5 linked regions of the Callithrix jacchus genome follow. The protein of the gene in region 1 interacts with the protein of each later gene in a pairwise test. Links are inferred from orthologs where the notes say so. Each region holds a gene or a part of one and is shown in the gene's direction. Other genes may lie near its edges. The genes, in order: DDX17, SF1, BYSL, RBM15 and WBP11.

What was found.
Region 2: the proteins of DDX17 (region 1) and SF1 interact in binary tests that used the Homo sapiens proteins (3 or more experiments, as listed by UniProt). The link is inferred for Callithrix jacchus from reciprocal best matches to the Homo sapiens genes DDX17 and SF1.
Region 3: the proteins of DDX17 (region 1) and BYSL interact in binary tests that used the Homo sapiens proteins (3 or more experiments, as listed by UniProt). The two-hybrid records come from large-scale screens. The link is inferred for Callithrix jacchus from reciprocal best matches to the Homo sapiens genes DDX17 and BYSL.
Region 4: the proteins of DDX17 (region 1) and RBM15 interact in binary tests that used the Homo sapiens proteins (3 or more experiments, as listed by UniProt). The link is inferred for Callithrix jacchus from reciprocal best matches to the Homo sapiens genes DDX17 and RBM15.
Region 5: the proteins of DDX17 (region 1) and WBP11 interact in a two-hybrid assay, tested with the Homo sapiens proteins (3 studies listed by BioGRID and IntAct). The link is inferred for Callithrix jacchus from reciprocal best matches to the Homo sapiens genes DDX17 and WBP11.

Annotation. Positions count from the first base shown.
Region 1 is NC_133502.1:209,415,469-209,419,594, reverse strand, and holds part of DDX17 (putative ATP-dependent RNA helicase DDX17), read left to right. Parts: intron 1-2,895; coding exon 2,896-3,046; intron 3,047-4,126. UniProt on the Homo sapiens protein: As an RNA helicase, unwinds RNA and alters RNA structures through ATP binding and hydrolysis.
Region 2 is NC_133511.1:121,835,068-121,838,989, reverse strand, and holds the end of SF1 (splicing factor 1), read left to right. Parts: intron 1-718; coding exon 719-899; intron 900-1,162; coding exon 1,163-1,436; coding exon of another isoform or gene 1,437-1,440; intron 1,441-1,753; coding exon 1,754-1,813; intron 1,814-1,925; coding exon 1,926-2,105; intron 2,106-2,854; coding exon 2,855-3,192; 3' UTR 3,193-3,232; downstream 3,233-3,922. UniProt on the Homo sapiens protein: Necessary for the ATP-dependent first step of spliceosome assembly. Binds to the intron branch point sequence (BPS) 5'-UACUAAC-3' of the pre-mRNA. May act as transcription repressor.
Region 3 is NC_133505.1:50,431,238-50,435,363, forward strand, and holds part of BYSL (bystin), read left to right. Parts: intron 1-1,461; coding exon 1,462-1,600; intron 1,601-1,946; coding exon 1,947-2,080; intron 2,081-2,683; coding exon 2,684-2,844; intron 2,845-3,016; coding exon 3,017-3,119; intron 3,120-3,943; coding exon 3,944-4,126. UniProt on the Homo sapiens protein: Required for processing of 20S pre-rRNA precursor and biogenesis of 40S ribosomal subunits. May be required for trophinin-dependent regulation of cell adhesion during implantation of human embryos.
Region 4 is NC_133508.1:148,190,128-148,195,047, forward strand, and holds the start of RBM15 (RNA-binding protein 15), read left to right. Parts: upstream 1-1,647; 5' UTR 1,648-2,740; coding exon 2,741-4,920. UniProt on the Homo sapiens protein: RNA-binding protein that acts as a key regulator of N6-methyladenosine (m6A) methylation of RNAs, thereby regulating different processes, such as hematopoietic cell homeostasis, alternative splicing of mRNAs and X chromosome inactivation mediated by Xist RNA.
Region 5 is NC_133510.1:8,533,183-8,537,308, forward strand, and holds part of WBP11 (WW domain-binding protein 11), read left to right. Parts: intron 1-1,257; coding exon 1,258-1,391; intron 1,392-1,612; coding exon 1,613-1,812; intron 1,813-2,385; coding exon 2,386-2,577; intron 2,578-4,126. UniProt on the Homo sapiens protein: Activates pre-mRNA splicing. May inhibit PP1 phosphatase activity.

The DNA of each region.
Region 1 (4,126 bases):
GTGAATTACTGATCCATACTTGACTATCAGATGGCATTTTTAAAAAATTTCAAATGAACTGGCCTTTCAAGATCTGCCCCAGCTCTCCCTTTCCCAAGACATGTTCTTGATTTGAATTGCTGTTCTACTCTTAACTGAATGTTACACAGTTGAAGTGGTGGTTACTTTGAAAAGGGAATGGGTGAGGTCAGTTCATGTGTTTTACATGTGCGATGCAAAAATGATAGGCACTGTACATTTGAGGTAGTATTTTTAATGTTAACATGAATCTTCAAAGCTGAATTTTTTTGCAAAGTCAAGTTAAGCTGTTAATTGCTGACTGGATAAAAACATTTCAGGAGCATACTATACCAGAGTACGATGTGTATATTTAAAGATATGGATATGCTCAAAAGTAAAAGATTTTCTTCAATTTTGAGGTCATTAATTATGTCAGCATTAATTATAAACATGGAAGACAGCATATTTTCCAAGAACTCCATGTTTCAAATTAGATATATAGTGTAGGGTAGTATATCTTAAATAGCCAGAGAAATATGGAGAGAGGAAAAAATACATAAATGGTAATGAGGTTATGATTAGTTTAAAGCGTTACCAGGAACATCACTTTCAAAAGTTTTATTTTTTCGTAGATTATTGAGGTTTGGGTATTGCAATGCAGCAGTAACAATGGAATATTTTATAATTTGCGAGAGTGGTAATCCAAGGACTTGGTACTTCTTGAAAAGTGCCTTATTTAGCTGCTTCATTTGCAAGTGTAGGGGGTGGCAATTGAGGTGGCCTTTTGGTCTGTTCACTATTGCACTATTGAGCCTTAAGCCGAGGAGTACATTAAAGATGTTGTTGACATGTGTATGCCAATGCTATGTGCTCTTCCTGTTTTGATTCTTAATTTGTCTTACTGCCTCAGCAGTGGTATAAAGAATTAGCCACGTTCTACCTGTTGAATGTAGGTATCCAGTGATCCCAATAAAATTTTCCTGTCATCAATTTTTGTTATATTTGTGTTTAGAGGAATATATAGCTGGTTAAGCCAGAGTTCTAATGCTTTGAATTGCAGGAAATTGAGGCCCTATAGAATAATACACCTGCTGCCTGTCAGTTATAAAGTGAAACTTTATATAAGATGATGTTATGGCCAGGCACGGTGACTCATGCCTGTAATCCCAGCACTTTGGTTTTGGGAGGCCGAGGTGGACAGATCATGATGTCAGGAGTTTTTGAGACCAGCCTGGTGAACATGGTAAAAACCCATCTCTACTAAAAAAAAGAAAACAAACAAAAACTAGCTGGGCGTGGTGGTGCACACCTGTAATCCCAGCTAATCTGGAGGCTGAGGCAGGAGAATTGCTTAAACCCTGGGGGGCGGAGGTTGCAGTGAGCTGAGATTGTGCCACAGCACTCCAGCCTGGGTGACGGAGTGAGCCTCTGTCTTGGGGTGGGGAGATGATGGTACAAGTGGGTTAGAGTGGGAAAAGGAACCTAAATTAAGTACAGTATATTACAATGAGTAAAGAAGTTGTCAGTGAAAAAAATGCTGTACAGTTCGTGTGCCAGACACAGCCCTGCACTTCACAAGATTGAAATAGGGAAGATGAAGGCCATGTTAAGATATTTCTAGGAAAAGTAGCTTCTGATTTGTTAAATTTTAGCTTAGGCTAGTGGTCATATTTGTATTCCCCTTGAGCTTGTTTGTTGTGAAAGGTATGTAAAAAGCAGGAAGTTGATCTCAAGTAATTAGTTGACTTTTAAAACCTTAAATAAGTCTTGTTAGTGGCTTTTCTGTCCATTAATAATACCGTTTGGGAACAAGGAGGAGATACAAGGTAAAAGAGACGAAGAAGGAGAGGTCATAAATGTATGTTCAGCTTTTTTTTTTTTTGGAGATGGAGTCACCCTCTGTCTCCCAGACTGGAGTGCAGTGGTGTGGTCTCAGCTTACTGCAACCTCTGCCACCCTGGTTCCAGCTGTTCTCCGGCCTCAGCCTCCCAAGTAACTGGGATTACAGGCGTGCACCACCACTGTTTAGTAGAGACAGGGTTTCTCCATGTTGGCCAGGCTGATCAGAACTCCTGACCTCAAGTGATCTGTCTGCCTCGGCTTCCCAAAGTGCTGGGATTGTGAGCCACTGAACGTGGCTTGTTCAGCTCTTTTATTAGAATAAGCTAAAAATGAAGACCGGTCTACGAGGAGTGCTCGTCACAGTTTAAAGGGGGAAGGGCCCAAGAAGACTGAGGGACATGCTTGGAGTGTATTTTCTTCCTTGTCCACAATCTTGCCTTTAACTGAAACTGAAACTAATGTCATCCTTTGCCTGCCTCTCTGTTACACAAGAGTAGAGACTTGTTTCTGTTTTATTTACTTTAGTAACTCCAGCACGGCACCACTTCAAATAGTAACTGATACATAGTTGGTACCTAATAACTATTTGTTGACTGGAATGATGCTTGCTTGTACTGAGTGCTTGTTATGCCAGTTACTTTTATAGCACATTACACATTATTAGATCTTTTTCTCAGCAGCCTCTGAAATAGGTGGTATTATTTCTAACTTGCATAGGAAACTGAGGTGTGTAGAAGTTAAATAATTAAATTATACAGTAAGTGGCAGAATCAAAACTCAAACCATGTCTGGTTCCAGAATCTGTGATTGTAATCCTTAGTATGTATACAGGAATTTTTTATTTTTCACCTATTATAGCCATACTCATAAACAGTTACTCTTGTTGGGTAGTAAAGGAAGTTTTACACACTTCTCCATACCTTTAAATAGGAGTGAATAACATGGTCTTTTGGAGGTAGGCTGGTAGTAGTCTATCTTGTTTGAATCTTTTTATGGTGTGTAAGATATATTACTTCAAAAATACTGATGAACTAAAAATTCTGATGTTCCTAGATTTGGAGCAAGAGGTGGTGGTGGCCTCCCCCCGAAGAAATTTGGTAATCCTGGGGAGCGTTTGCGTAAAAAAAAGTGGGATTTGAGCGAGCTCCCCAAGTTTGAGAAAAATTTTTATGTGGAACATCCGGAAGTAGCAAGGCTGACTCCAGTAAGTTTGTGTGTGTGTGTTTTAATGTACAGATTATTGAACCAGTAGACATAGTGGTTAGAGTTTATTCATACACTAATGTTGCTGTTTTACATTTTATTCTAGTGTGGTGATATTTTTAAAAAAATTTTTTTTCTTAATCACCTCCCCTTCCCCTCCCCCCCAGAGACTGGGTTTTGCCACGTTGCCCAGGCTAGTTTCAAACTCCCTAGCTTGAGCAATCTACCCGCTTTGGCTTCCCAGAGTACTGGAATTAGAGGTGTGAGCCACTACACCCAGCTGATATTTTTCTTATATTCTTAACTAAGATCAGTAATCCTCATAAAAGGGGGCCAGTTTAAATATGCATTTAATTTGTTATTTGTTGATAATGCTTCCTAATCTATTTATTATACCTGATTGAAACTATTATATATTAGGTCATGTCTTTTCAACTGTCAGTGAAAAAAATATATTGGTGTTGTCTTTTTTTTTTTTTTTTTTGAAATGAGGTCTTGCTCTGTCCCCCAGGGTAGAGTGTTGTGGCGTGACCTTGGCTCACTGCAACCTCTACGTCCCAAATTTAAGCAATTTTCCCACCTCAGCCTCCTGAGTAGCTGGGATTACAGGCACATGTCACCATGCCCCACTATTTTTTTTTTTTTTTTTTTTTTTTAAGTAGAGCCACTGTGCCCAGCCAAAATTTGTCTGTTGTTGTGCCTCATTATCATTGTTTTGGACTTTACAAATGAAATGGTTACTCTTTCAGAAGGAAGTATAATAGAAAGAGTACTTGGGTCCAGGTTCCACTTTTTCTTCCTCTTCCTAGTTCTGACCTTGGACGAGTTACTTAAATATTTGTTTTCTCCTATAGAAAATAGAACTCTTGGCAGGGCGCAGTGGCTCACGCCTGTAGTCCCAGCACTTTGGGAGGCTGAGGCAGGCAGATCACGAGGTCAGGAGATCAAGTCCATCCTGGCCAACATGGTGAAACCCTGTCTCTACTAAAAATACAAAAAAAAGCCCTTAACAGAAAAAAAAAAAAAGAACTCTTAATCACCTCCATCATTAATTAACTTACAAAGTAAGTAGGAGCCTTGC
Region 2 (3,922 bases), on another chromosome or scaffold:
ACCAAGAGAAACATCTTTCAGTTAATGTGGTCTGTAATGGTGTGGTTTAAAGCCCAGGATCATTAGAAATAGGCTCTATAGATATTCCTATTTGTTTGTCTTGAGCCCAAGAAAACTGGAAGCTTCCATTTTGAGTATAAATGTTTTCACTGGGGCTCAAGAGGAAGTTCCCTGCTTTTGCTATTCAGAATTGGTTCGAGAAGACTTGTTTCTTGGGGGTAGAGACGACGGAGATGGTTTTTCCATCTCCGTCGCCTCTACCTTTTCTCCCTCCCTCTAAAAAAAAAAAAAAAGAAAAATTCTTTCTGACCAGTTGCAAGTTGGCACTGGATACCAGCACCTTTTTATTCTGGCAAATATGTAAGCTTTTGTTCAGGAAGGTCGTTCGGGCAGTTGGGCCAGTCTTACATAGATTTTCTTTTCTCAAACTGGGAATGAAGTTTGATGGAATTGAGTTGAGAGAACCTGTGCTTCAGTGATGCTTAGGGTCGTCTGTGCTCTTCGCCCAGGGCCTCTGCTCTGGCGATCTCAGATGCAGAACTGGGCACGACACTGAAGATTGTTGAGAGACTGTTGAGAGCCATGTTCAGTAAGGGGTTAGAAAGATGTAATGATCTGATGATTGAATCCTTCAACACTTTCTGTATGTTGGTTTCTCAGGGTAAAAGCTTCCGTAATGAGTTTTTCCACTTTCTCTCTGTCTCCCACCCCACCTCAGGCCTGGTGATCCCCAGTCAGCTCAGGATAAAGCACGGATGGATAAAGAATATTTGTCCCTCATGGCTGAACTGGGTGAAGCGCCCGTCCCAGCATCTGTGGGCTCCACCTCTGGGCCTGCCACCACACCCCTGGCCAGTGCACCTCGTCCTGCTGCTCCCGCCAACAACCCACCTCCGCCGGTGAGCCTGGGGGCAGGTTCTCTTGGTCTGGCTTCCCCATTCTCTTCTGCAGAGACTGGGAGCTATGGCCATGTGCTTTGGGTAGAGCAGATCGATGGATATGGATGGCAACATTGTTCTTCTGGGATCTCAAGCCAATTGGGGACTTTTCTCACTTTGGGAAGACCTCGTTCTTGTGTTCTAGTCCTGTGGCATGAACGGAAGAACAATGTTGCCACCAGGGGGCGCAGGCAGGGACGTTGGCTGGAAATGCTCTCACGTAGTCTCTCATGTCCACCACTCAGAGTCGCCCACCCTGGATGAATTCTGGCCCTTCAGAGAGTCGGCCTTACCATGGCATGCACGGAGGTGGTCCTGGTGGGCCCGGAGGCGGCCCCCACAGCTTCCCACACCCGTTACCCAGCCTGACAGGTGGGCATGGTGGACATCCCATGCAGCACAACCCCAATGGACCCCCACCCCCTTGGATGCAGCCACCACCACCTCCGATGAACCAGGGCCCCCACCCACCTGGGCACCATGGCCCTCCTCCAATGGGTAAGTAAGTGTCAGACCAGAAACCTTGGGGCTTTGGGATAAGCAGGGGGTTGCGTCAGGTCACTGAGCTAGAAGCAGCTCTCAAGTGGCTCGGCAGTGTGCCGGGTCTGCCTGACTTGCCAGGGTTATGGCTCTGGAAGGAGCGAGACTTCATTCTGGTACAGGGAGTGATTCTGTGTCAGCTAGGCACAGACACTGCCTTTTACAGGCATGGTTTTCAGAACTCCTGTAAGGATAGCAACTCAAGTTATCACAGGGGTGGCTTCCCTGGCCAATTCCAATGTCCTGCTAAGTCCCTGCTCTTTCCTTCCATCAAGATCAGTACCTGGGAAGTACGCCTGTGGGCTCTGGGGTCTATCGCCTGCATCAAGGAAAAGGTAATGGCTGTCTGCTGGCTGTGGGTCTTCACCTAGGTTTGGGCACGTGGGGACTGTGGCCCAAATCCCCCCCTTTCCCTAAAGCCTCATCTTTGCCTACACCTACCTGCAGGTATGATGCCGCCACCGCCTATGGGCATGATGCCGCCGCCGCCTCCGCCTCCCAGTGGGCAGCCCCCGCCCCCTCCCTCTGGTCCTCTTCCCCCATGGCAACAGCAGCAGCAGCAGCCTCCGCCACCCCCTCCGCCCAGCAGCAGTATGGCTTCCAGTACCCCCTTGCCATGGCAGCAAAGTGAGTAGAATATTTTGGGCTTGTGGGCGTGGGTGGGATGGGGGTGGGCCTGAGAGGAACCGTAGAGCCTCACACCTCACACAAGCAGGCAGGTGCCTTGGGATGAGCCCCTGAGCTCTGCTGGGGTTGTAAACAGAAAGGGCCTCCTGGTCCGGGGGGTAGAGGGGCATCTTGGAGAGGAGAGCTGATGTTTGGTGTGGTTGTGTCTGGGGAGAGGTTCGTGGGGACCTGGAGGGGAGCCTGCTGTTGTAGGTAGGGGGACAGAAGTCCCGTCCTCACGGGCTGAGTGAGCGGCTGGCTGGACCGAGCCTGGTGCATATGGCCCGAGTGGGATGGTGCATGCTTGCTCTGGCGAGGGCTGTGATTGGGGTGAGAGACTGCAGAGGTGGGACCGGGCAGTGGGGAGAGAGCAGCTGTGGCCTTGAGGTTGAATGTGCCGTTCGGTGGTGGCGGCGGCTGGGCGGAGGGACGTCAGAGCTGTTTTTGTGTCTGGTACCTTCCCCTCAGCCCTTCTAGGGGCATTGGTGACAAAGGGCTTACTCTGTTAAGCCCAGAGACCTCGAGGCTGACCCCAGGGTAGTCCTGCCCACCCCTCCACTCCCATCACCAGCCCCGCCCGCCCGCCCCCCACCACCGTACCGCATGCCAAGCAAGGAGCAGGCGCCCCTCGCCCCCATCCCAAGGCAGCAGCCGCAGACAGCCGCGGTGTGCCCCCGCGCGTGTGACCTTGGGCTTCTTTACCACCCCAGATACGACGACTACCACCACGAGCGCTGGCACAGGGTCCATCCCGCCATGGCAACAGCAGCAGGCGGCTGCCGCAGCTTCTCCAGGAGCCCCTCAGATGCAAGGCAACCCCACTATGGTGCCCCTGCCCCCCGGGGTCCAGCCGCCTCTGCCGCCTGGGGCCCCTCCCCCTCCGCCGCCTCCACCGCCTGGTTCCACCGGCATGATGTATGCCCCGCCCCCTCCTCCTCCGCCTCCCATGGACCCTTCTAACTTTGTCACCATGATGGGCATGGGGGTGGCGGGCATGCCGCCCTTCGGGATGCCTCCAGCTCCCCCACCGCCTCCACCACAGAACTAGACTTGTTTTTTAAGAAAATATATATTATATATAGAGAGAATTGGTCTCGTTTAAACACGCCGAACCTCACCATATGGAGCCAGACATTGGGACGCACGCATGTGATTGTGTGTGCACGCATGTGTGTGTGTGCACGCACGGGGCTGGGCCAAGCGACTGAGGATTCGCTTGGGAATGGGCAGTGGTAGTAGGGGCGCCAGCTTGGGCTCTTCTGGCGCCCCGTAGCATCGAGTGTCTTCTTTGTCTTCTTTCTCTCCTCACCCAACTCCCTTTGCCTCTCCCCAAACCGGGCCGCCAGGATCCCTCCCCGCGGCGGCGATGGCCCGAGCCATGAGAGTGAGGACTTTCCGCGCCCATTGGTGACCCTTCCAGGCAGACAGCCTCAGCAACGCCCCTGGTGGACAGGATGGTTCGGCAAAGCAGCCTGAGTTATTTTTGTGGACGGAATCGGAACACGCTGGCTCCATATCGTGAAATTTTTATTAATTTTTTTCTTTTTCCTTTGTTACTTCCTTATCTCTTCCTTTCTTCAGACTCCGTCCAAGGAGATGCTCTCCCCGGTCTTCTGCTACAATTAGATTCTTTTCCCTTCTCTCCAGTTCTTCCCTTACCAAGGAGAGGGGAGCAAATGGTTTTGGGCATGGGCTTCGGCCATTCATGCCAAGCTGGTTGTGGGGTTCTTTGGTTCGTAAGTTTTTCACGGTGCCATAACCACCCACAAAGATGTTGG
Region 3 (4,126 bases), on another chromosome or scaffold:
AGATGTCACAAAATACGTACCTGGGCTTGTCCCACCAGAGAGCCTCTCAGGTTCTCACTCAGCACTTCATAACTCCTACTTCACTGGTAACTCTGACAAACTTGGCAGAATGCTTCTCCAATTTGCAGTAAATAGAATAGACAAGCTCCCTGAAGTAAACAGAACTCCAGGCAGTCGCAGGAAATGATAGCTAGCATCTTCAGAAAGCAAACCTAGATCCATGTGGATTCAACAGTCAAGAGGCCATTTAGTTTAAAGGCATATTATAAGGTCCTATAAAGTACCTTAAGAACTTCAAAAACCTGAGTTTGACTGTTACTCCCCACCTGACAGCTATGAGGCCTTGGGTGAGTTACTAACCTGAGGCCCAGTTCCCATGTCTGCATAAGTTTCCGTGTCCCATAAGTGTTGCACTGACTTTAGGACTGAAAAGTCCCAAACTCAGTGCCTGGCACTGAGTAGGACCTCAGAAAAGAGGAGCAGTTTGTTTTTTTGTTTTGTTTTGTGACAGTCTCACTCTGTCAGCCACCCAGGCTGGAGGTCAGTGGTGTGATCTCTGCTCGCTGCAACCTCAACTTCTCAAGATTACTGGCATGCACCACCACGCCCGGCTAATTTTTGTATTTTTAATAGAGACAGGATTTCACCATGTTAACCAGGCTGGTCTTGAACTCCTGACCTCCCTCAGCCTCCCATTTTTGGGATTACAGGTGTGAGTCACTGCACCCAACTCAGGAGCAGCTTTAAGTACATTTCAGGCTGGGCATGGTGGCCCACACCTGTAATCTCAGCACTTTGGGAAGCCAAGGCAGGAGCCCAGGAGTGTGAGACCAGCCTGGGCAACATGAAAAGACCCCATCTCTACAAAAGAATAAAAAATTAGCTGGGTGTTGTGCTATGTGCCTGTGGTCCCAGCTAGTGGGGAGACTGAGATCGGAAGATCGCTTGAGCCAGAGAGATGGAGGCTGCAGGGAGCCGTGATGGTGCCACTGCACGCCAGCCTGGGCAACAGAGCTAGACCCTGTCTCAAAAAAATAAATAAATAAATACACTTCAACAGCCTCTGAAGTGTATTATAAAGTGGGTACCATTATTATTCCTGTTTAACGAATGAGGAAAACAGAGGCATAGAAAGGTAAAGTAACATGCCCAAGATCATACAGGGAGTAGGCAAGCCAGGATTTGAACCTGGGCAGACCAACTTCAGAGTTCAGGTTCATAATAACCTCCATACAACTGCCAGCTTTGTCCTAAATGGAATGACGTTCAGTTCCTTTGCACGCTGCAGCGATTCTGTGGTGGATGGATGGGCACAGAGAGGGAACTGAAGTTGCATATCACCCAGCAGGATTGCAGTATGTCAGTGCACACAAGGACTGTGGGGAGTCTGGAGCTTCCTGGACAGTGACCACAGCACTCCTTCCCTCCTCTCTCCCCTCCCCTTGACACCTCCCCTCTTAGGCGCACCCTGGCTGACATCATCATGGAGAAGCTGACTGAGAAGCAGACAGAGGTTGAGACAGTCATGTCAGAGGTGTCGGGCTTCCCTATGCCCCAGCTGGACCCCCGGGTCCTGGAGGTCTACAGGGGGGTCCGGGAGGTAAGAGCTGAGAGAGGAGCCATGGTTGAAGACCCATTCGGGGACTTTTTTGCCTTTTGCCCACATCTCATACTAAAGAAGTCATGGGAGCAGAAAACAGACCTAAGAAGCAGAGTGTGTGGGTTCAGATTCCTGCTCTGCCTATAAATGACTTGGCAACCTTGGATCAGTTACTGGAACTTTTCTCTGGTCATCTGTATAATGAGCAAAATAATGGCCCCTCCTTATACAGTTATTGTGAGCATGAAATGAGTTAATATATTAAAAGCACCCAGACAAGTTCCTAACCCACAGCAAGCTCGCCATATGTGGATGACGATGATTATTTTACCTCCCTCATCCCTAGGTATTATCTAAGTATCGCTGTGGGAAACTGCCCAAGGCATTTAAGATCATCCCTGCACTCTCCAACTGGGAGCAAATCCTCTATGTCACAGAGCCTGAGGCCTGGACTGCAGCTGCCATGTACCAAGCCACCAGGTAGGGTGGATGGGGGTTCGGGGGCCTTGGTCTATAGGTACAGGCTGGGCTTGGGATGGACAGGCTCTCCTTGCCTCTACCCCTAGGGCATTTGAGCTTTGCCCCATGGCCCTCTCTGTGCTACTTTATAGCATCATTTTCCTAGCTTTTCCTCTGTCGTGTTTTGTAGCCAAGACCCAGCTAGAAACCCTCCATGATGGATTTCTAGGGAAGAGGCTTTTACAGCCACTGGGATACAACCCCATAGCGGGGCCTCAGAAGTCTATGACTACCCAGGCATGCTCAGGGCCCTCGTGATAGCAGGGTTGAGAGGAGCTGTGACAGCAAGAGGAAGGAGAGTAGCTGAGTAGCCATCAGTTTGCATGAGCTCTGGCTCTCCCCCAGACAAACAGCACTCCCCATTTGGGTACATCTCGTTGCCCCTCCTGTTCTCTCTCTAAGTTGATGGGTGTTGTATGCACACAGCTCCCACATATCCCTCACTGAGAAAAAGATCTCTTATTTTACTTTAAAACCTTTTGTATGCACTATCCATGATGATATTTAATGGGCTGGGTCCAGACTGTCGTGTGACTTGGAAACTCCCCACTTAACTCCCACTAGGATTTTTGCCTCTAACCTGAAGGAACGCATGGCCCAGCGCTTTTACAATCTTGTCCTGCTCCCACGAATACGAGATGACATTGCTGAATACAAACGACTCAACTTCCATCTCTACATGGCTCTCAAGAAGGCCCTTTTCAAACCTGGAGCCTGGTTCAAAGGTGGGATCCCCAAGGCAGGGAAGAAAGGGAAGGGCTGGAGCTCCTACAGGGAACACAGCAGGCCTGGTGTGGGAAATGGCTGGCTGGCTGCCCCTGGGCTGGGTGGGAATGCTTCCTGTAACTCCTTTTTCTTAACCTGGGCTCATAGTGACTGCCCTTTGACTCTCCTCAGGGATCCTGATTCCACTGTGCGAGTCTGGCACTTGTACCCTTCGGGAAGCCATCATTGTGGGTAGCATCATCACCAAGTGCTCCATCCCTGTGTTGCACTCCAGGTAGCATTGTCGGGGGTGGAGGAGGGCTGGTCAGTGGATATCCAGGTAGTGGAATTGCCAGGACTTGGGGATGCGCAGAGTGGAGAAGGAGCTAAGGATAGCCTTGGGTTTATATCATTATCCCCCTAAATGTAAGTTCTGCAACAACAGGGCCTAAGTACCTGGTATAAAGTGCTGAGGCTGGGCTCAGTGGCTCACGCCTGTAATCCTAGCACTTTGGGAGGCTGAGGCCGGTTGATCACAAGGTCAGGAGTTCGAGACCAGCCTGGCCAACATAGTGAAACCCCATCTCTACTAAAAATACAAAAAGTAGCTGGGCTTGGTGGCACACACCTATAATCCCAGCTACTCTGGAAGCTGAGGCAGGAGAATCATTTGAACCCAGGAGGCAGAGGTTGCAGTGAGCCAAGATTGCACCATTTTACTCCAGCCTGAGTGACAGGGTGAGACTTCATCTCATAAATAAGTAAATATATCTGTCTCATAAATAAATAAGTGCTCAGTAAATAGATGAACAAATAAGTAGGAAGCACAGGAAGAAAGTAGTTAGGGTAGAGATGTTTAGATGTTTGGACCATACTCTAGTTGGGTACTGAAACAAGCAGTCTGTGCTAGAGGTAGAGATTTGGGTGGATGCTTGTAGAGATGGTGACTGGAGTCAAGGGAGTATAATACAATTGGGTAGGTGAGAAGGCCCCTAGGGAATACCATAGTGTAAGGGCCAGCAGAGGGGAAGAAAAAAGGGGGAAAGCACAGAGGAGAAGTAGGATCCTTCTTCCAATGCTTTCCCCGCCAACTTCACCCCACCTCCCTTTTCCCATCAGTGCGGCCATGCTGAAAATTGCTGAGATGGAATACAGCGGTGCCAACAGCATCTTCCTGCGACTGCTGCTAGATAAGAAGTATGCACTGCCTTACCGGGTGCTGGATGCCCTAGTCTTCCACTTCCTGGGGTTCCGGACAGAGAAGCGTGAACTGCCTGTGCTCTGGCACCAGTGCCTCCTGAC
Region 4 (4,920 bases), on another chromosome or scaffold:
AACTGGGGCAGGAAATGTATCAGTAAGTCTGGGAGAAAACAATAGAGAAAGGAAGAGTGGGAAGTGTGATGCAGATGAAACAAGACTGACATGATTTGACAACTGTTGAAATAGGGTGTTGGGTATATGGAATTCTTTATAGTATTCTTTATTTTAAACTTTTTCCATAAAAATAATTTAAGGAAAATTAAAAATAATTATTTTTTAAACTGAAGGAGTAATAGCGTGCTTTTTGTATAAAACAAAAGATTTCTACAAAGAAAAGTGAAGTCTCCTTCCTATTCCAGACCGTCACACCCAGCCTCAGGGCGATCCTAGTAACACTTTCCCATATATTTGTCACGGAAGTTTCCAAGCAATGATATTTTTAAAATGTACATACTCACAAATGTAATTTTTAAAACCACAAATGATAGCATGTTATACACATTATTTTATGGCTTGTGGTTTTATTTTCTATTTTAATACAATGAATATGTTTATACATTACAATATCGTAGACTTTCTTGCTTTACCATTGAGCTTCTTCCTTCAAATTTCTTTGATCTAATAAAGGGATAAAAGGCCTGCCCCTTCACATTCCTCAGGATTACTTACCAAAAGGATGGCTCGGCCGCTAAATTTAGGTTACAGTTCCTTTTTTTTTTTTTTTTTTTTTTTGAGACGGAGTTTCGCTCTTGTTACCCAGGCTGGAGTGTGCAATGGCGCGATCTCGGCTCACCGCAACCTCCGCCTCCTGGGTTCAGGCAATTCTCCTGCCTCAAGCCTCCTGAGTAGCTGGGATTACAGGCACGCGCCACCATGCCCAGCTAATTTTTTGTATTTTTAGTAGAGACGGGGTTTCACCACGTTGACCAGGATGGTCTCGGTATCTTGACCTCGTGATCCACCCGCCTCGGCCTCCCAAAGTGCTGGGATTACAGGCTTGAGCCACCGCGCCCGGCCCACAGTTCCTAATCTTAACACCGTTTTCAAGTTTAGGTTTCGGCTTTTGGGACATTATTGTTACCTTGAAAAATGTCATGTTTAAAAACACCTCACACCCTCTACCATAGATTAGATCTTGGGAAATAGGTTGAGGACGCGATCAATGTAAGAATCCTCATAACCTCCGCCCTGGCGGATACCTGGGAGGGCTGCAGACAGTCTAACGGCTGCGGTGACCTCAGCGCTGCGCCCCTCCAGCAGCCGGCGAGCGCTGGGGCGGAGGCCGTACCCCACTAAGCTCGGCATCTCCTGCACCTCCCACAGGTGCTCTGTCCGCCACAGTAATGCTCTACGGAAAAGAGAGTTGTAAAGCGGACGGTTGGAGGAGCCAAACGAGGTGGATCTGGAGCGGCCGCAAGGTGCCTGCGCTGCTGGCTTCTAATACAATAAGCGGAGTGTGGGGGATACCAGAAGTTACAGCGGGGAAACCAAGTTACATTATCTGCATGGAACCTAAATTTCGCTTGATGACTTTCCAGGGAGAAGCATTAGATGTTAAAAACAAACATAGGTATTTTACGGGACAACAGAATTAAAAAATCCACACAGATTCGCAAAATAAAACAGGCCGCCCAGAGACACGTCCACGCTGTCCCGACAGTTCCGGCTCCGCCTGCGGGCCAAGAGGCGGGGAGCGACGGTCACTCCCCTCTGCTACCCAGAGTACTTGGGAGGGGACGGGGAGCGCCCCGGAAAGCAGGGCCCCCAAGCGAGGAGTGCTTCTTCGCCGCGCAGCTTGAAGTTCTTGAAGTTCCTTGTGGCAGCACCGCCCCGGGGCAGCGGCGTGACCTGGGGCTGCAGGAACCTTGAACTCCTAGCTCAGCGGGCCCGGGTGACCGCGGGCGGGACTCTCCCGCGCGCGGGGGCGGGGCTCCCCCCGGCTTTTCACGCAGCGGCCACAGCGACCTAAGATGGTGTCCTCTAGGCGTCCCAAGACGGCTTCCTGAGGGACTGGAGGGCCCCGACAGCCGGAGAGCCTGCCACGCTCCTGGGCCGGCGCAGGTAGGATGGCGGGGAGCCTGAACGTTTCGAACTCCAACGGCCGAAGCACAGCTAAGTACCTCACGGAACTGAACAAATGTTTGTGGGAGGACGCCGAAAAGGCGGGGAGGCGGGGCTGGCTCACAGCCACCCTCTCGCGACATCTAAGTGACGTCGCACAGTAAGCACGTGTTCTAGTCTTTCACCTTCAGTCAGCCTCCTCCTTTATACGGGCCTACCCCTTTAAGCAAGTGATGGACAGTTATTTCAGCTTATCAACTTCCTTGCGGACATCCAATCAGATTTAAACTTCTTTTAGCCGCCGGAGGAGTTGGGAAAAGGGGGTCGAAAGAGGGAGCTCACCCTCTCTCGCGATATCGCTGTGAGGCTGCCTCTGGAAAAAACGCTGAAGCGGATGGCCCGACCTCCTAAATAGTGGTTTAAAGGACGGGTTTATAAGCCAATGAAAGGGATGAGGAGGTGGGGTTGCTGCTTTCACCGAGTAAGAAGTACCGTTACAGGGCAGACTTTTCGTCCAATGAAGACCTCCAGACTTTGGGTCACATGACCGTAGAGCGCTAGGGGCGGAGCTACAGCCTGGCGCGAGGAACCGTTAAGATAGACAACAAATATAACCAATGAGATGCTCTGACTAGGGCTTTGGAAACCCAATAACAGTGGTTGGGCGGGCGCCTTCCTGGAGCGCGGGGAGATGTAAAGATAGACAAATAATTTTTCCAATGAGACTGTAGAAGAGAGAGCCAATTGGCCAATGAGGACTGCGGGGCGGGATTCTGGGCCGCGGCGGAGTCCAAGATGGCGGCGTGCGGTTCCGCTGTGTGAAACGAGCGCGGGGTGGCGGGTTAATCACCTCAGCGGAGACGACCTCCGACGACCCGCAACAATGAAGGGGAAAGAGCGCTCGCCAGTCAAGGCCAAACGCTCCCGTGGTGGTGAGGACTCGACTTCCCGCGGGGAGCGGAGCAAGAAGTTAGGTGGCTCTGGTGGCAGCAACGGGAGCAGCAGCGGAAAGACAGATAGCGGCGGCGGGTCGCGGCGGAGTCTGCACCTAGACAAGTCCAGCAGCCGAGGTGGCAGCCGCGAGTATGACACCGGTGGGGGCAGCTCCAGTAGCCGCTTGCATAGTTATAGCTCCCCGAGCACCAAAAATTCCTCAGGCGGGGGCGAGTCGCGCAGCAGCTCCCGGGGTGGAGGCGGGGAGTCACGTTCCTCTGGGGCCGCCTCCTCAGCTCCCGGCAGTGGGGACGGCGGGGAATACAAGACTCTGAAGATAAGCGAGTTGGGGTCCCAGCTGAGTGACGAAGCGGTGGAGGACGGCCTGTTTCATGAGTTCAAACGCTTCGGTGATGTAAGTGTCAAAATCAGTCATCTGTCGGGTTCTGGCAGCGGGGATGAGCGGGTAGCCTTTGTGAACTTCCGGCGGCCGGAGGACGCGCGGGCGGCCAAGCATGCCAGAGGCCGCCTGGTGCTGTATGACCGGCCTCTGAAGATAGAAGCTGTGTATGTGAGCCGGCGCCGCAGCCGCTCCCCTTTAGACAAAGATACTTACCCTCCATCAGCCAGCGTGGTCGGGGCCTCTGTAGGTGGTCACCGGCACCCTCCTGGAGGGGGTGGAGGCCAGAGATCCCTTTCCCCTGGTGGCGCAGCTTTGGGATACAGAGACTACCGGCTGCAGCAGTTGGCTCTTGGCCGCTTGCCCCCTCCACCTCCGCCACCATTGCCTCGAGAGCTGGAGAGAGAGAGAGACTACCCCTTCTACGAGAGAGTGCGCCCAGCATACAGTCTTGAGCCAAGGGTGGGAGCTGGAGCAGGTGCTGCTCCTTTCAGAGAAGTGGATGAGATTTCACCCGAGGATGATCAGCGAGCCAACCGGACGCTTTTCTTGGGCAACCTAGACATCACTGTCACCGAGAGTGATTTAAGAAGGGCGTTTGATCGCTTTGGAGTCATCACGGAAGTAGATATCAAGAGGCCTTCTCGCGGCCAGACTAGTACTTATGGCTTTCTCAAATTTGAGAACCTAGATATGTCTCACCGGGCCAAATTAGCAATGTCTGGCAAAATTATAATTCGGAATCCTATCAAAATTGGTTATGGTAAAGCTACACCCACCACCCGCCTCTGGGTGGGAGGCCTGGGACCTTGGGTTCCTCTTGCTGCCCTGGCACGAGAGTTTGATCGATTTGGCACCATACGCACCATAGATTACCGAAAAGGTGATAGTTGGGCATATATCCAGTATGAAAGCCTGGATGCAGCACATGCTGCTTGGACCCATATGCGGGGCTTCCCACTTGGTGGCCCAGATCGACGCCTTAGAGTAGACTTTGCCGACACTGAGCATCGTTACCAGCAGCAATATCTGCAGCCTCTGCCCTTGACTCATTATGAGCTGGTGACAGATGCCTTTGGACATCGGGCACCTGACCCTTTGAGGGGTGCTCGGGATAGGACACCACCCTTACTGTACAGAGATCGTGATAGGGACCTTTATCCTGACTCTGATTGGGTGCCACCCCCACCCCCAGTCAGGGAACGCAGCACTCGGACTGCAGTTACTTCTGTGCCTGCTTATGAGCCACTGGATAGCCTGGATCGCAGGCGAGATGGTTGGTCCTTGGACCGGGACAGAGGTGATCGAGATCTGCCTAGCAGCAGAGACCAGCCTAGGAAGCGAAGGCTGCCTGAGGAGAGTGGAGGACGACATCTGGATAGGTCTCCTGAAAGTGACCGCCCACGAAAGCGTCACTGCGCTCCTTCTCCTGATCGCAGTCCAGAATTGAGCAGTAGTCGGGATCGTTACAACAGCGACAATGATCGATCTTCCCGTCTTCTTCTCTTGGAAAGGCCTTCTCCAGTCAGAGACAGACGAGGTAGTTTGGAGAAAAGCCAGGGTGACAAGCGAGACCGTAAAAACTCTGCATCAGCTGA
Region 5 (4,126 bases), on another chromosome or scaffold:
GACTGGACCTGAGTCTAAACATGAAATTTATATTTCATATACACATAGTCTGAAGATAATTTTGTGTATGAAACAAAACTGCGGCCCATCATATTACATCAGGTGTGGATTTTTCCACCATGCATCATATGGGAGTCAAAATGTTTAGGATTTTGGAGCATTTTAAATTTTCCATTAGGGATGCTCAGTTGTACTTAGATTTAAAAAGTTAATGGGAGAATGGATCATGCTGAACCTCTTCCTCATAGCAATTTCTTCTAAAACTAAACATGTCTACCCTATGAACCAGCAAATCTAATCCTCTGTATTTAAACAGGAGAAATTAATTCAAAACTAGGATCAGCCTAGTATTCACTAATAAGATAATGGATAATTAAAATGTAGTATATTTATACAATGGAATACTGTTCAGCAGTAAAAGGGATAATCTAATACTCAAAGCAACATGAAATATAACAAAAATTACCAATAAATCTCAACAAGCTAAGTTAATTTCATCGTTACAATTTCATTTCTAGAATACAACTAATCTGTGTACAATGTATGTACAACAATATATGTACAACTAATCTGTATTTCTAGGTACAACTAATCTATGCAGGAAAAAAAAATGTAGCAGTGGTTGCCTTGGGGGATATTAGAGGTGGATTGGGAAGGAGTATGAGGTATATGCATTTGTCAAAACTTGACTGAATTTGTACGTTTTGTAAATTTTACCTCAAAGAAGGGAAAAAATCAAATGCTGTTATTTCTGTAAAGGAGGTAATATGCCCCTCATTTTACAGATAAGGGCACAAGTTAACTTGCTTAGGTAGGCTAAGCTAATACACAACAGAAATTCAACATAGGCAAGCTCATGGGCCCAACCTGCGCCACTGGATATATACATTTGTTAGTTGACATGTATTATTTTTCTATCACCCTGCATATTAAATAGGGTAACTTTGGTGTTAGGTACTTTTAACAGTTGGATTTCTCTAAACAACAGCTATTTCGAATCATATACAAAAAGACTTACCTGATAGTAAGAGGAGAAAAAACAGCTGTGTTTTGGTGTTTTCAGTAATAAAGATTTCTTTCAATTCTTTGACAGTCTTTGGAAGTATTGACATGAGGCTATTTTTGTGGGAGTTTTTAGTGATATTTATGTTAGTTGGAAAGCATGTCTGAGTCATGAAACAGCTGACTTGTCATTTATAGCGTTTAGTTTATGGATGATTTTTTTATCGTAATACTGAAAGGTTCTCTCTGTTTCAGAATGCTCAGCATGTGGAAGTGGAGAGTATTCCTTTGCCAGATATGCCACATGCTCCTTCCAACATTTTGATCCAGGACATTCCACTTCCTGGTGCCCAGCCACCCTCCATCCTAAAGAAAACCTCAGCCTATGGGTAAGGAAGCAGTTCACAATCAGAGCTCATTTGGTAAAAGCACAAATTGACTGTCCACTACCAGAATTAATGCTGGGGTAAATAAAAGACAATGTGGATGTAAACAGTATGAAATTTGATTAAATGTAAAATAAGAAATCCCTTGAAAATTGTTTAGAAGAGAAAAATATCTCATTATTATTAAGTGATTACTGTGGGGTTTTTTGGTTTTTTTTTGACAGACCTCCAACTCGGGCAGTTTCCATCCTTCCTCTTCTTGGACATGGTGTTCCACGTTTACCCCCTGGCAGAAAACCTCCTGGCCCTCCTCCTGGTCCACCTCCTCCTCAAGTCGTGCAGATGTATGGCCGTAAAGTTGGTTTTGCCCTCGATCTTCCCCCTCGTAGGCGAGATGAAGACATGTTATATAGTCCTGAACTTGGTGAGAAGTGACTGTTCTTTTGCTGTTATAATGACCATTTTTTATGTTGGCCCTGTTTAACATATTGTTCACCACTCTCAGAGCTTAGGAAGTAAATGAGAGGATGTCATGTAAATACTAATATACATACAGTCGGGTAAATTATAGGATCTACCCAAGTAACAGCATCATACATAAGTATACTGTGTTTTAAATTAAGCTCTTCTTAGAGATGTCACTCTATCTTTTAAGACTTGTATATCTTGTTCCCTTTTAGCTCGTTGTCATCAGACTACAGTGTTGTATACATTCACTGACTCTATGTGTATATAAACATGATTGTTGCCAAAGGAAATGAGTTCTCAAATTAGAACCTCTTTTTAAAAAAATCTTAAATTACCAAAAAGTAGTGTTTAAAATTATTGGCAAATGAAAATATTGTTAGACTGTATGAATAGCTATGTACAGGAATTTTTTTTTTGTAAGAATTGTTACAGTCTTGAGTTAAAATAGCATAATTTTCAGTATTTCTGGGTACCATGTTTTAGAGGATCCAGTAATGTTACTTCTCCATGTTCCCTTCCCACTTTTCAGCCCAGCGAGGTCATGATGATGATATTTCTAGCACCAGTGAAGATGATGGCTATCCTGAGGACATGGATCAAGATAAGCATGATGACAGTACTGATGACAGTGACACTGACAAATCAGATGGAGAAAGTGAGGGGGATGAATTTGTGCACCGTGATGACGGGGAGAGAGACAACAATGAAGAAAAGAAGTCAGGTATGTGCAGAGGAAGGATTACAAATTGATCGATAAAGAGGAAACAAGCCGAAGGTCCTAATTTATTAGCCAATCTGTGAAAGTCCTGTGAAGTCTTTGGAAGTAGGGGTCATAGCTGTATTCATCTTTGTGTATTAAAATTTTGAAAGTTTTTGACACAGTAAGTACTCAGTGGATATTTATGAGGAAAAACATTAAACAGTGTAATAAAAATGTCTGTGATAAAGTTCACTTTAGGGTAAAAGGTATAAGAACTATTCACTAGCATAAGCATATGTTATGGTATGTTATAGGAAAGAAAGGAGAATAGCCCCACCTTTGAAGCCCTTTTATGGTATCTTATATCTTATGAACCAGGATCAGAATTTAAACCCAGGTACACTCATGAGTGGAATCATGAAACATATTGTGTCTATAATGTGTATGTTTTGATTATTACAAAATTCAAATTGAGTTACATGTACTCTTTAAAAGAAGCTATGATATTTGTCAAGAACATTTTAATCTTTGTAATAGGTACTGGCAGTGCAAAATGCACACTAATTCTGCAAACCTCAGCAGTTTGGGAGCTTCTTTTGGGATTATTTTTGTAGCCTACAACAGAATACTTATATAATACTATGCAATACTAACATTAATATTGATGACAAATTTTCCCCTGCTGTGTCTTAAGAATCATGGTTGCCAACAAAAAAAGCTAGTTAAAAAGACTAGATAGAGCTGGTAATGTATAGAGAACCGTTAGGTAGGAACCAGAACTAGAAAGTAGAAAGCCATTAGAGCCACAGCAGCTCCATTTTTTTCTGTGACTATGTGGTCTCTTGCCTTCTTTTCCTTTTATTCTGCCAAGAGATTTTTCTTTTTCTTTTTTTTTTTTTTAAGACAGTCTCACACTTGTTGCTCAGTTTGGAGTGCAGTGGCGCAATCTCAGCTCACTGCAATCTCCACCTCCTGGGTTCAAGCGATTCTCCCAAGTAGCCTCAGTCTCCCAAGTAGCTGGGATTACAGGTGCCTGCCACCACACCTAGCTCATTTTTGTATTTGTAGAAGAGATGGGGTTTTACCATGTTGGCCAGGCTGTTCTCAAACTCCTGACCACAGGTCATCCACCTGCCTCGGCCTCCCAAAGTGCTGGAAGTACAGGCGTGAGCTACCACACCCAACCAGATTTTTTTTATATATACTCATCAAGACACATGTTATGAAAATGGCTGTCTTAACTCTGACTTGATATTCACTCAGCTCATACTTACTGAGTTTTTACTATACACAGGGCATTTTTTTCTAGGCACTAAGGATACAGGGTAAACAAAACTAAAGTCCTCTCCACTTGGAACTATTCTCCTCCTAAAATGTTTACCGAGAATGCTCCTATCCAGTGTCTAATGAATAGCCTTTGTCAGTTAAGAAGTTCTTTTTCTTCTTAGCTTGCTAAGAGGGTTATTTTTTAATCATAAATATATTTTATGTATCTGTTGGGATGTTATTATATTTTTTGTTCTTTGTAAGTTCTTTATTGTAGTGAATTACATTGCTGGCTTTTAAAACA